4 linked regions of the Schizosaccharomyces pombe genome follow. Each later gene encodes a partner of the first gene's protein in a complex. Each region holds a gene or a part of one and is shown in the gene's direction. Other genes may lie near its edges.

What was found.
Region 2: mrpl33 (region 1) and mrpl51 share a complex: the UniProt entries of both Schizosaccharomyces pombe proteins name them as parts of the mitochondrial large ribosomal subunit.
Region 3: mrpl33 (region 1) and mrpl22 share a complex: the UniProt entries of both Schizosaccharomyces pombe proteins name them as parts of the mitochondrial large ribosomal subunit.
Region 4: mrpl33 (region 1) and mrpl15 share a complex: the UniProt entries of both Schizosaccharomyces pombe proteins name them as parts of the mitochondrial large ribosomal subunit.

Annotation. Positions count from the first base shown.
Region 1 is NC_003421.2:2,221,434-2,224,307, reverse strand, and holds mrpl33 (mitochondrial 54S ribosomal protein uL30m), read left to right. Parts: upstream 1-1,725; 5' UTR 1,726-1,736; coding exon 1,737-1,786; intron 1,787-1,841; coding exon 1,842-2,085; 3' UTR 2,086-2,104; downstream 2,105-2,874. Other genes in the region: tif6 (translation initiation factor-like ribosome biogenesis protein), read right to left, coding at 51-678, 994-1,065, 1,120-1,154; SPOM_SPCC1919.07 (uncharacterized protein), read right to left, coding at 2,105-2,725. UniProt on the Schizosaccharomyces pombe protein: Component of the mitochondrial ribosome (mitoribosome), a dedicated translation machinery responsible for the synthesis of mitochondrial genome-encoded proteins, including at least some of the essential transmembrane subunits of the mitochondrial respiratory chain.
Region 2 is NC_003423.3:1,698,045-1,701,493, forward strand, and holds mrpl51 (mitochondrial 54S ribosomal protein mL43), read left to right. Parts: upstream 1-1,888; 5' UTR 1,889-2,037; coding exon 2,038-2,103; exon of another isoform or gene 2,104-2,194; coding exon 2,195-2,357; exon of another isoform or gene 2,358-2,453; coding exon 2,454-2,662; 3' UTR 2,663-2,828; downstream 2,829-3,449. Other genes in the region: protein Mdm34, read right to left, coding at 1-1,049; cytosolic thiouridylase subunit Ctu2, read right to left, coding at 2,829-3,449. UniProt on the Schizosaccharomyces pombe protein: Component of the mitochondrial ribosome (mitoribosome), a dedicated translation machinery responsible for the synthesis of mitochondrial genome-encoded proteins, including at least some of the essential transmembrane subunits of the mitochondrial respiratory chain.
Region 3 is NC_003421.2:2,027,601-2,031,087, reverse strand, and holds mrpl22 (mitochondrial 54S ribosomal protein uL22m), read left to right. Parts: upstream 1-1,953; 5' UTR 1,954-2,057; coding exon 2,058-2,807; 3' UTR 2,808-2,914; downstream 2,915-3,487. Other genes in the region: helicase Hrr1, read right to left, coding at 1-1,433. UniProt on the Schizosaccharomyces pombe protein: Component of the mitochondrial ribosome (mitoribosome), a dedicated translation machinery responsible for the synthesis of mitochondrial genome-encoded proteins, including at least some of the essential transmembrane subunits of the mitochondrial respiratory chain.
Region 4 is NC_003423.3:4,362,346-4,365,828, reverse strand, and holds mrpl15 (mitochondrial 54S ribosomal protein mL57), read left to right. Parts: upstream 1-2,037; 5' UTR 2,038-2,146; coding exon 2,147-2,779; 3' UTR 2,780-2,947; downstream 2,948-3,483. Other genes in the region: arg41 (argininosuccinate lyase), read left to right, coding at 1-444; SPOM_SPBC1539.02 (uncharacterized protein), read right to left, coding at 653-1,813; SIN component scaffold protein Sid4, read right to left, coding at 2,987-3,483. UniProt on the Schizosaccharomyces pombe protein: Component of the mitochondrial ribosome (mitoribosome), a dedicated translation machinery responsible for the synthesis of mitochondrial genome-encoded proteins, including at least some of the essential transmembrane subunits of the mitochondrial respiratory chain.

The DNA of each region.
Region 1 (2,874 bases):
AAACTCATAAATCCTGATCAATAATTTTTTAGTTAGCTCACACCGACTGCTTATGTATAAGACTCAACAAGAGTGTCTCTGTTGCTTATAATAGCAGAAGGTTGAGCATCTTGAAGTTTAAATATAGATTCACAGACAGCCAATTCAGTAGCCGTAGTATCAAGTCCAGCAAACGCACACCAGTCGTTCACAACTAGACCAGCACCGATAACATCGGAACCACGGTTGATGGTACCGGCAACAAGAGGAACTTGAAGAAGTGATGACAATTCATCCTGTTCCTGAATGCTAGTACGAGGGTGAACCAAAGCACCTTGATTGCTCAATGCACAATACGAACCGGTTAAAACATTGCCTGCAACGGTTTGACGGAAAACTTCAACATCTAAGACATCAGCAATAATTTCCTCGGTTTCACGCTCAATATCAGGATGAACAAGGGCCACATAGTCGTTGCAAGCCACAATGTTTCCTAGAGCTGAAAGTCGTTCATCAACACGTTGGATTTTGACAGGATCTGGAAGAGAATTGCGGAGGTGCTGTAGTTCATTATCGGTGGTAGAAGAGGGAACTAACAGACCTTTTCTATTACCACATGTCAAACGACCAATGATTCTGGTTCCTCCAATTGTGGTATGAACAACGGGTACAACATCACCTAACTCTGCCTCGAACACGCTGTTATAAAAGTTAGTGAAAAGTTGATAAATGTAAAAAATGCCAAAAAAAATAATTTGTCGAGCTGCATCGAGTCAAGGAATAATAAAGGTAATGAACAGCAAACCGCCAGAGTTTAAGTAGTGGTTTGCATTTATGTAGCAAAGTCTCTTTTACTCAATTAAAGAGTAGTTAGGCTACATCATTCACATATGTGCTATTTATTTTTCTCATAATACGTTCGACTGGTTAAGGATTTTAAGAACCTTTAAAAAAATTTTGAATCGTTTACATTTAGAACATTAAATTTTGGCATCAAATAAACGTTAAGCTTACCTGTAGAAGTTTTCAGAGCCTCCAAGCGCTACAAGTGCGTATGAGTTTGTGAGATTAGAAAAGACACCAATCCTATAATTTGTTAATATCATGCGTCTATTAAGCAAAAAAGCTGAGTAAACTTACTCATTAGAATTCTCGAATTGAGCACGAAGTGCCATTTTGGTAAAGAAAAAGTTTTATCCCAGCCAAATTTCACATCTTAAAAATAATAATCCATTGAACATCGTTAATATGATATTAGCATTGTGAAGCAGACACGTAATACCAATTAACATAATTTTTTGTGATATATCGGTAATACTGCATTACACTAATGATTTACTAGGTTGCGTATCACTATATGTTACATGTTGGAATATTAGTAAAGATCCGTTTATTGACAGTAAACAGATAAGTAGTCGTCTATACTCATAGACACCATGTGATTACAACTACTAGAAAGATGATAATTATAGATGTTACTGTAAATCGCTCCTCTCCATTTTTTAACCATATCGGTGACTTACACTAATAGACTTCTTATAACAATAAATATAACATTGTAGTTAATATACTGCATTCCACTAAATGTGGATCGCAAAAAATTCATCGTAATTCAATGTATCGTTAAATAGATAGCAACGTAGTGAATAATAGTGAACAATAACGAGCTTGCGATATGAATTGTATTTTATCGGTTGAACTAAAAGAGTTTCAATATTTAGTGTTAAACGGACTCCACGAACTTCTAGTTTACCATAATGTCATTCTTTCGAGTTCGTTTAGAAAGGTCAGCCATCGGGCTCTCGAGGTACGTGTTTTGGAAACGAGAAAAACATGCTTGTAATTGCTAACCAATATTTTAGTAAGGTGCGCAGCGTTTTGCATTCTTTGAGGTTAACAAAAAGACACTCCGTAGTCTATTGCGATGTAAATCCAATCAATGCGGGAAGAATTTTTAAAGTAAAAGAACTCGTTAGTGTCAGTACTGTGAAACAAAAGTTAGCCGCTGGGCAAGAAAAGAAGTCTCTTGCTTCTAGTAGCGGATTTACAGTGATACATCGATACAATAACGGTTTAAAAGAATTGAATAACATGTTTGAAAGTTAAATTTTCATTCTAGTTATATTTATCGTAATAGTTCATCTAACCAACTTTGGTCTTTGTTTGGCTTTTCAGACATATAGTTCCTAGAGTCGTTTCTTGAAATATGCATGCTGGAATGATTAGAAGAAATGTAATTTTCCCCTTTATCTTCTGTAATGGAAGGCGGAGCAGACTGATCCATACTTTCAAGAAAAGAATCAATATCTTCTTCCGCTTCAGCATGGCTAATGTTTACCTTTGGCTTTTGTACATTATAACGCTTACGGAATTCTTGAATTGACTTTTCATGCTCAACGCTCTCCAACATGTCGGCTACTTCTTCACGTTGGATAGTCCGAACTTTGGACTTGGGTTTTTGGTTGCTAATTCCCAAACCAGTAAGGGGCCGTGCTTGTAGTTTTGAATACTCGAAATCTTCTTCTTCATCTTGAATTGTATCTCCATTCCCCACGGTCTTCAAACTTTCCAAACTTGGATATTCTTCCTCATTGTTATCTTCATCAAAGTATTCCCCTGCATTTTTAAATCTCCATTCGTTATTTCCCAAATTTTTTTTACGAGGTTTTACAGGTGCATCATGAATGTCATGCTTTTTTTTATACGCTAATGTCGCTTTTCTCTTCCATTTATCTTGTACTACCATATGGGACGTCGTGTCTGAAGAGGCAAGGAGGAACCTGTACCCTATAAGACAATAAGTTTTTTTACAATGTTGGTCAATTTTTTTCTTTTCTCGTAGTGGTTTATATTTTTAACGACTCGAGTATAATAAAATTTGAAGCAATAATAAAG
Region 2 (3,449 bases), on another chromosome or scaffold:
ACACGTTCTCGGCGGCGGAATTGTGAGGTACCATGACTACGACCAAAAATGGATGGCCTAGCCGTGGTGTCATTTGAACCAAGATAGTCTGATGCGGAATATTGGGTTGCAGGGGAAGATACAGCAGAAATATCATCAGATTGAGTAGTCAATTGCTGTATAATCGTATCGGGAGGAGTTGACCGGTATATGGACATAGGTATTGAAGGAGAAGAAATAGGAAGTAGTGCTTTTCTGGATAAGGCTAAAGAAGCAATAGATCGAATGTTAGGATGCGTTTGGACATCCAATGGGCCCATTTTAATTGGGAGATGAGTGTCGACTTTCGTAGATTCATGATAGTCGGGAGGACCATCTAGCAAATCTGGGTTATAATTAGCCAGAGAAGTATGAGATTGGTTAGGAGAAGTGAAAGGAATTTTTTGAAAAGATAGATTAGAGTCGGACTTGGCAAACCAAATTCTTGACATTTTGTATATGATGGAAGGAAGTTCTTCCTGAAACAGGGAGACCAGTTGCACCTCGATTTCTCTTTGTAAAAAGCGAGCAATAGCAGGAATAGAATCAAAGGAGGAAGATACACGCACGGATTCTAAAGGATCGTTTCGAAATACCACAGTGATACCTTTCTGCTTTGAAAACACCAAAACAACTATTCCGTTAAGCTTTAAGTCGGAAAGTCGTAAAAACATAGGCACAGTAAGCGGTGCACGAGATGCTAACATTGTATTACGAGAACTAAAACTGGGAACATTACTTTTTTGCACCGATAATGGATTGGCACGAATTTTTGTTTGCAAGACCAAAGAAGCATCACCCGAATAATGGAGATTAAAGAGGCCCTGAAAGCGGTCTGGCGCTAAGTCGCCAACCTCTAAAATTTCCAGTTGAGGAGGTTGGGGACCCAAATCCAACTCTTTTACAGTGATGTGGTCTGCAATCATCGAGTGTTTAGTGCCTTTGTTTAAAGCAGCCGTAAGCAAAGTGGTTGCTCGCTCATAGAATGACTCAGAGAACTGATCACTCCATCCCTTTACACGAAACGACATTCTGTTGATTTTCCTAAGTTATCTACATCAACTATGAAAAATGTCAAATTTTTTTGTAAGGAACCGTCTAGTATAGACTAAGTAACTAACGCTTTAGATCAATTTCTTTACAAAATTTTTATTAAATTCGGATAGGGAAACGACAACTTCCATACAGTGGCGGACAGTAAATAAACATCGATAGGCTGGCTGATGCACTAGTGCGGCATACTGAACCTTGATATAGCCAAGATAAGGATAGGGTCGATCGTACTGTATATGAACGAAGGTGTATTAGAATGCATTAAATAAATTATTACAAAATGCACAGTAGTTTCTTATGCTATACTGGTGAAATATATTTTCTTGCTATTCTGTTCATTTAGGAGGGATAAATAAAGCTTCATGAAATGAAATTCCTTAGATATTCAAATCAGAAATTCAGCCATTATTTTAGAAATGATATTAGTGGTGTTGCTTACTGTATTAATTTGCTATGTTGACAAATATCTAGGCTGAAGAACTTCGAGTACAAGAACCGATACAACTTTGCTCTTTCAGAAAAGGATATCTCTGCATAAATGAATGATATTAAATCAAAATTGTTCGTTTTAAAAAACCTATATTATGTTTGTTCGCAGTCCATGTACTACGTTAAAAAATCACTGTAAACTTTCTAGATATCATTATTTAGAGAAGAGCAGAAAGGTAAAGTATTGCAAAGTGTGTAACCAGAAACTGTAGGTAGACAGTAAACTTGATTTTGTTGCTAAAATTTTTTATAAAACTAATTGCATACTAAGTTTAACATTCTAAATCAATTGGAACAAGTATTGAAGTTTAGAGCAATTTGGGATTTGCGAATTTCCACACACCCCTTTACGTCTCCATACCGACTTTTCATTATTTCTGCAAGGATTTGCTCACCCAACTTTTTTCAATATAGCATATTAAGAATTCTGGTTTTTAAAAGACGGTATCCCCTTTTTTACGGCCTTTTACTCACTTAATGATGATTGAAATCATTCCTAAAATTTCAATTCCCAAAAATGGACTAGGTTCATTTACCCGCCCAGTAAGATTTAATCAGCTTTCTTTTTTTTTAAAAAAAAAAAAAAAAAAAAGATTGGCCTTCATTAACTTCGTATTACTAATTTTCTTTTTAGTGCCGTCGAATTGAGTTTTCGTATTGTAATTGGGGTGGAAGCTCAAAAGGCATGAAAGAATTTTTATCCACAAAGCTTGAGTCTTTGGCCAAAGAATCTCAAGATGTGGAATTTCATGTTACAAACCGCCAAGGCAAGCATCCATTAATCCGAGCTTATTACAGTACGTCCAAGACTTTTCTCTTATTATGGTGATCCTCTTAGTTTTATAAATATGAACTCCTTAAAATAGTGTTTTTTACTAATGCTACGATAATAGATACTGGTCGAGAGAAGGTCATTTGTACAAGGAAAATGTCAGCGTCTTCAATATTTCAAAAAGCAATTCTATGCAGAGATAGTGATGGTTTGAAACCTCGCCTCATAAAATATCCTGTTGAGTCAACAAACCCATCCGTTCGTGGTATTTGGAGTCCATTTTCCGATCAAGCAAAGCCCCATGAAATTTATAAGAAAAAGTCCCCTTAGATTCCTCTACAAACTACTTATTATTTCATACAAAAAAAAGAAAATTCAATTTAATCATTTTCGTTATGTTATTATGTCTAACCTTTTTGTCCGAAATACAAAACCCTATCCAAATTTATCTTCCCATAAATACTCTAGTTAACCAGGTAGTAAGTGTACAGATGTATCAAATCCCTTCTTTTTCAATATCAGGAATATGCAACGTCCCTTTTAAGCTTTTTAAAGAAACAGAACAGCCATAGCAAACATTTTGATTCTTAATACCTTCAACGGAATCCGGATGTTCAACCGTAGTTTTTTGTAACCAAGTCTCAGCATCTTCTTGCATTGGTAGATTACAGATGGTACATATGGCTTCTGTAGAAGGCACATGCAATTTTGAGCTCATTTTGACAACGGTGCTAACCAGACTTGGGAATGTATCATTCAGCGATGAGAAATATGATTCTGTAACGCCATGAATAGTATTAGGACGTGCTTCAATTAAGCTATCGCAGAAAGCTAATCCCTTAATGTTCATATACGACTTGAGGTCTGAAGACAAAACTTCACGTAGGGGACGTAGTAGGAAAGTATCGCAATTTGGAAGCTTAGAGCAGACAGAAGTGTACCATGGTATCGCAAAACCTCGACCCTCTGCCACAAGTTCAAGAACTCTTGCAGCAATTGTAGTACCGCTATCACCAAAAACAATGGTATCACAATTTGCCTTCCGGGCATAGGATACTAAAAGCTTATCCCGAATTCGGTAAAGTAAATCTTGACGCGAGGCTAACGAACTAATGAC
Region 3 (3,487 bases), 190 kb from region 1:
TTATAAGCAGCCTTAAATGAATGCTTGGTGTGCTTTGCTTTTTGAAAAATCGTAACCGCTGCAATCTCAGGATCCTTCGTTCTTGAACCTAGTCGCATTACTGAAGCGCCTTGATGCAATAAACGAATCAATATTTGATCGACTGCATGATTCGTTTGGCAAGCTACTAAAATCGGAAGAACATGGGAGTGAGTATTCTCAAGTAATGTTTCTATGGCTTTAAGAGTAACAAAGCTTTTACCAGTCCCTGGAGGGCCTTGAATAATGGAGAGTCTCTTAGTCAGCATGGACTGGTAAGCTTTTAACTGTGACGAGTCTAGTATATACTCGCCAGGACCGAACGGCTCAAGAGCATTTACGATTTTTTGAGAGTTATTTTTTAAGATAGAATTTATGCGTATCCTAGGATTATTTTGTATGTGTTTAGCAGTCTCCTGATTACTTTTACAGTGTACCAAGTAATCCTTCATCGGGAATGTGCTAGCAGAAAGCCTCTGTAATGAACGAAGAACATGCTTGTAAGCTTCCCAATAGCCTGAAGTAGCTTCGATCATAACATATTCTTCTCGAGGATCTAAAGAGATACTAATATCTTCAAATTTGACATCTATTTCATGAGGATGTTTATTAAGGCCACTCAAGGGCCGCGCACAGACAGTTCCAATGCGAAAAGTCTGGAAATCATCATTGCTTAATAAAACTAAAGATCCACTGATAAGACGACGACTGGTAGCCCATTTTATTTTTTTCTTAGCGCGAACACTGAAGGATAATTTTGCAGCTATAACACTGGAAGATATTGTATAGCCATCTATCCGCACATGATCATATACGGCTAACGAAGAGCCGGTAATGTAATTGGGGTTTACCTTGTACCGAAGCACACTTTCTCGTAATGGGGAAACTGCGTCCTCACGTAGCAACCGATAGTGTATAGATAAGTAATCTTCAAAGGACTTGTATCCTCCGTATATGTTGTTTGAAGGTAATTCAACACTCTTTGACGTCAATTCTTCCAACGTTGGAATTGATGGTAGTTCCCGCCAAGAAGAAGTATCGCTTGCGGGATGGTGTTCGTTTTCGAATTCTCTATTTTTTCCCGATGTTATATCATTTCTCTTTACATTACTCAATTCATAATCGTTGTCAATGCTTCTCTTACGACGTATTGACTTGTTTTCTTTTAAATTTTTATCAACTTTGTTCCCCTCCGAGTCTTGGGTTTTGGAGGTTTCAGAAGTCTCGATTTGTTCTGTGAAACTCGTAGTATTATTATCGGCGTTAAAGATGTTGCTATACAATGGGTGTCTTTTCATTTCACTTAAAGTTTCTGGCTCGGGGATTTCATCAAACACAACTTCTGTATTTTTGTTCACCATTTCCCAGGCGTCCAGCGTACTTAACTTCCAAATTTCATCTTGTACTTGTTCCATAATAAAAAAGAAAAGGATAATATCCAAAAAATTTCAAAAGGTTATTGTACTAAAATATCTCAGTACGCGCCCACTAGGTCGTAATATTAATCTCGTCCTCCCCAAAGAAGCTAAAAGATATCATAAATAACAATTCATGTACAGTCTCTGCACCTGTCTCTAATATTATTTGTCTAACATACAAATGGGTTGTTTGTTTACTGCCAAGGGCCGTTTTCTGTCTTTACGTGACCATGCATTTAACGCGTTCAGATAATACCCGCAATGTGCAGCTTAGTGTGCCAGCATAAAGCATGTAAGCATGTGTTAACATCGTTGTAAAGTTACCTTATCGTAGTTTATCCATCCTTGAAATAGATTTACAAACTGAGTAGCTTGCATAGTGATAGTGAGCTCTCTCATTTAAGATTTTTATAACTGTATAAGGAGGGAAATGCTAACTGACCTATAACATAGTACAGTTAGCAATTCGTTAGGTTGCAATTCCTATTAGTACCACCTTGGCATGTAATATTTACCTGGTTTTGTTACAACATTGAGAAAGCGCATTTGCTCAAATTAGTCGAAAACGTTGACTTCTATGTGTGGAAGGAATATTTGGGAAAAAATTTTTAAGATTTAATTATGAAATACATTAATCAATTTATGAAAATATCAAAGGGCTTTTTAGTTCCATCGTCCACGATAGGATTGAATTCTAAAACGTACCATTACAAATTTCCATTACTTTCTTTTGTTAGAGAATTTTCAAATGGATCCTACTTAAGGGAGTCTGCACAAAATCCTGCAAATTTGGGTTCGCAAAAAGGGTCCGACATTTTCTCAATGCTTGCTAACCAGAAGGACGATTCTAATCGTCAGCAAAAGGAAGAGCGTGTAAAAGAGAGACCAAGGTCACGTATTTCTTTCAAAAAACAGGAGACCATGGATCCTTCCTACACCTTACAATCAATGGTGCTTCGCTCCTCTTTAAAGAAAGTCGGCGCTTTGTGTCGTCAAATTGCCCATAAGCCATTTTATCATGCTTTACTTCAAATGAAAATGTCAGATAAAAAAATTTCCAAGTACATCGCAACTGCTTTGGTTTCTGCTCGAGAAAACGCTGTTCGTGAAGCTGGTCTTGATGAGAGTACTCTCTACGTTGATCAAATATGGGTTGGAAAGGCAAAGTATTTAAAGAAACTTATCACTATGGGCCGTGGAGGTCGTGCCATTGAGAGATCTCCACGGGTTCGAGTTACTGTTGTTTTAAGAGATGAGCGAGCTCTCTTGCGCGATTTACAGCGTCGTCAACAAAGACTAGAAAGAAAGAAAGTTTGGACGCCTCTGCCTAACCGACCAATATACCTAAAATCTAACTTTTTCACTTGCTAAGTCATTATTGAGATGCCCATATCTTTGATACTCTAATAATATTTCCCCCCAATATCGTTTATAGTAATTCTAGTGCCGTTTTTTTTTTATGAGAATATGGTTTCCCTTATTATTTATTTCTTTAGCAACGCCATAATTTTGTATTTACCTCTATGGTGCTGATGGTATCAGTAGAAAAATAGTACTGTAAAAAGGTAAACTAACCAACCTGTACATACATCACTTTTAGTTCAATGATACGTTTTCGTAAAGAACGCAATTCTTTTTAAACTGTCTAATCTTATTAAATCATTCATGCAATCGTTTGCCTCATTAACATTTTTCAAATTTGGTTTGAAGCATTGCAACGAGCTTCTTTTTTTGACTTTTCAAAACGTGCTTTGGACCATATGTTGAAGCTATCCATATCTCTTCACCATTTTGACACATATTTATTGGTTCTAAATTCATCAGACACTTTTAAACAATCAAGCAAACCGAGTATAAAATATCATTAATTCCCCAATTATTAGGTGTAAAGGTACGCTGGATCCGCATTTTAACTCATTTGCAGTAGCAAATGATCAGTAGGAAAAAAAAGGAAACAAACCGCATCAAATAGACAGTAATTCTTTTTAATGGGCCATAATGAAAAAATAAGTTGAGATAGTAAATGTATCAACTATATTAACTTGAACCAC
Region 4 (3,483 bases), on another chromosome or scaffold:
GTTAAAGGGATTCCTTCAACATATAACAAAGACCTCCAAGAAGATAAAGAACCGCTTTTCGATTCTTCCAAAACTGTTTTGGATTCCATTCAAATTCTAACCGGAGTTCTTTCTACTTTAACTGTAAATCCAGAAAATATTGCTAAGAGCTTGACTGCGGACATGCTAGCGACTGATTTGGCAGAATACCTTGTGCGTAAAGGTGTTCCCTTTCGTGAAACTCATCATATTTCCGGGTCCGCTGTCCGAATGGCCGAGGAAAGAAACACTACCATTGATAAGCTAAGTGTTGAAGATTTTAAATCGCTACACCCATTATATGAAGAAGATGTTGCAGATGTTTTCAACTATGAATCCAGTGTGGAGAAGCGTTGTGCGATTGGTGGTACCGCTAAGAGTTGTGTATTAGAACAAATCCAAACCATTAAAAAGGCCTTGGAGTAGATAAGTTTACATGAAATGATATGGATATACTTACTTTTTCTATATGTTCGTTTGATCATTTAACAGGGCTTCCTCAACATAATTCCCCGAATCGAGGTTTTTTGGTGTAAAACGGGCAAATAAATAATTGTAGCCTCATAATAATATTTTAAAAACACGTAACTTAAATCTTAAATCGTAAATATTCATACTGAATGAAGTAGTACTTTTAACCTTTCGTCTTTCTCCTTTTAACATTATCATCATCGTCAGATTCCCCTAACTCGTGAATATCTGCTGTATCGTCTTTTGATAATACAAGCCCGAAACCTGCATCAACAATTTGTCCGTCTTTTCCTTTCTTTCGCTCTTCTTCTTCTTTGCGTTCCTGAACTTTGGCAAGTCGATGAATTTGAGACATAAAATTCGTAGGTTTAAGATCGCTATATTGATTTGTATCAAAGACTTTCTTATGATAAGGCGCATCCAATTCATGATGACCTTTAAGCTGAAAAGCATCCTTCGCCTTCAACTCAGCAGGCTCTTTATCATTTTCATGAAAAGGATCATATTCTCCAACCTCCTCGAAAATATCGAGCTTCAAATCAACTGGTGGAAGTGGTATATCATGCTTAACAAAGCTTTTCCCTAAGCTATTAGCGTTCACGTTTAATTTCTCGGTTCTATGTTCATTTTCTAAACGTTCATTATCATTTTTTAACTTTTTTTCCTTCTTCACAAGCCGTTTTAGGATTTCACCATTTTCATCAAGCAAATATTTAACTTTTTTTCCATTTTCCAAAATTTTACGATATTTCGGTTGTCCATTAGGATAAAGAGGTATCTTCTTTTTTTCTTCTAGAATAGAAACAGATTCAGGATGTGATGACTCCTCAGCAACTTTCTCTAAAAGCTTGTCTGCTTCTTCGTCAACTTCTTTCTCACTCGAAGAAAGCAGAGAATCATCCAAGGCTAGCTCATTAGAGCGAACTTTTTCAAGCAATTTTCGATCAAGACCACGCACGAGATGAGTTGTATTCAAATCTCCGCCTAATTCTTTAGATTTTTCTGAATATTCTTTTGTCGTAATTTGGCCATTGCGAAGTTTCTCGTGCAATTTGTGCAACTCAATATCCTGTTTGGAAGAAGGCTCTTCATAAAATTGAGTATCTTTCCCTGAATTTTTTGCATTAGAATGTCTCGTAATGTCTGACGATGTAGAATGACTTAGTTGTTTTCTTTTAATTAGGGCTCTGGGTGCTTCCAATTTGGCCGTCTTATGTTTACGACCAAAAACAAGTCGCTGACTTTTATTCGATGAGAAATTTTTTAACTGGGAGGTTTCGGCTTTTGGAGTAGCTAAAAGCTTTCTGAAATCATCTTGGTTCATTGTGACAAATTTTCAACCAAAACTTCAGTATCCTTTCAATTAATTGTTTCTTTGGAATAACTTTGTAGTAGTTGTTTATATACACTTAACAGTAAAACACAAAATAAATTGTAAATTATTGAAACAGTTTGATAACATTAGCATACCTTGACGTTCGTACACTGTGATCTCAAGCGTAGTGCGCTATTTTACTACTTCGTAATCGGCCAATGTTTTTTAAAAACAACCTATATTCTAGTTGCAGAAAACAGATATCTTTTCTTTCGAAAAGTTGATTTTCCATACAAGGGTTTGAGGAACTTGAAGCTCTTTCTAAGATTTTATGCCATCCGTATGTTAACAAGACATTGTAATCGTTTAGGACTTCAAATTGAAAATAAATTTGTGTTCAGATCATCATCATGGAATTGTGTCCGTCGAATTGGGAAAATTGCGTGTAATGAAAATAAGTACAGATATGAAATGACATCTACAGAAGAAGACATTGACAGCTTTTTCAGTCGTGTTTTTGGTGAAAAAAATTACATCTCAGACAAATCTCTAAGAGAACAAATTGTAACTCATAAATCTTATAAACATGGGCTGAAAAGATATAATGAACCTTTCGTTTCGGTTGGAAATGCAGTTATCGATGTTTGCTTACTTAATCATTATTTGGAATCAGGAAACTTTAGCACAATACCTTCATACAAGGATTTAGTAAATCTTCGTTCCCCTGCTCGACTCGCTGAAGTTGCAAAAAAATGGAATCCTGAAACTGCCACACAATGTATTTTGCCATTAAAAGGGCCTAATTCTCCATCTTCGTCTAGTTTTGAAAAGATATACAGTAGTATTGTTTCCGGACTTGTTGCTGTCGTTTACTTCCAAAAAGGCGGAGTTGAGGCTATGAATTTTTGTAAGAAAAGCATCATATCAGATTTGACAAAAGATTTCGTGAGACCTAATACCGTGCATAATCAATAAGATGTGTAGCAGCAGGATAAAATTCTTTATGCAAAGGATGCCATAATATAGTACATTTTGCCATACGCTTATTATTACTATCGATTTATTTAACGCCTCTTTCATTCAGTCAGTAGTTAATAATATATTTCATATTTATCAACATTTGTATAATATAAGCTGCATCCCAAAATCTTATTGATCGAGTTGTAAGTCATTGGCATCCATTCACAAACTACGTTTTTTAAGCTCCCTTATCTTTTTCAGCATATCTGCTAAACACTGTTTTGAAACCAAACCGTCACGCATATTCTCCTCGTATATTAGATAATGGATATTTCGTGCCCATTGGTAGAGTCTACGACCTTGTTGCAGCTGGCGTCTGACTTGTCCGATGGTAGAAGGAAAAATTGCAAAAGGGATATTTAATTGGACCAAAACTGTTTTCAACATGTTGGCTGTTTCAACACTACACTGTTGATCTATATGCTGAAGGCCTAGCCGATAATAAAGTTGTTTTTCCTTAGCCAGATTAAATCTAGAATCAGGCATATTTAAGGAAGTAAGAGGCTGTGAGGTATGGAAAGTAGGGATGGTAGATGAAGCAGGTGTTGAGTAGCTTTTGTTCTTTTCGATCATTAACTCACTTTCATCTGACAATTTTGCATCAAGATTATTGGTATTAATAACATTTCTTATATCATTTTTTGCAGGGGCTGTAGACC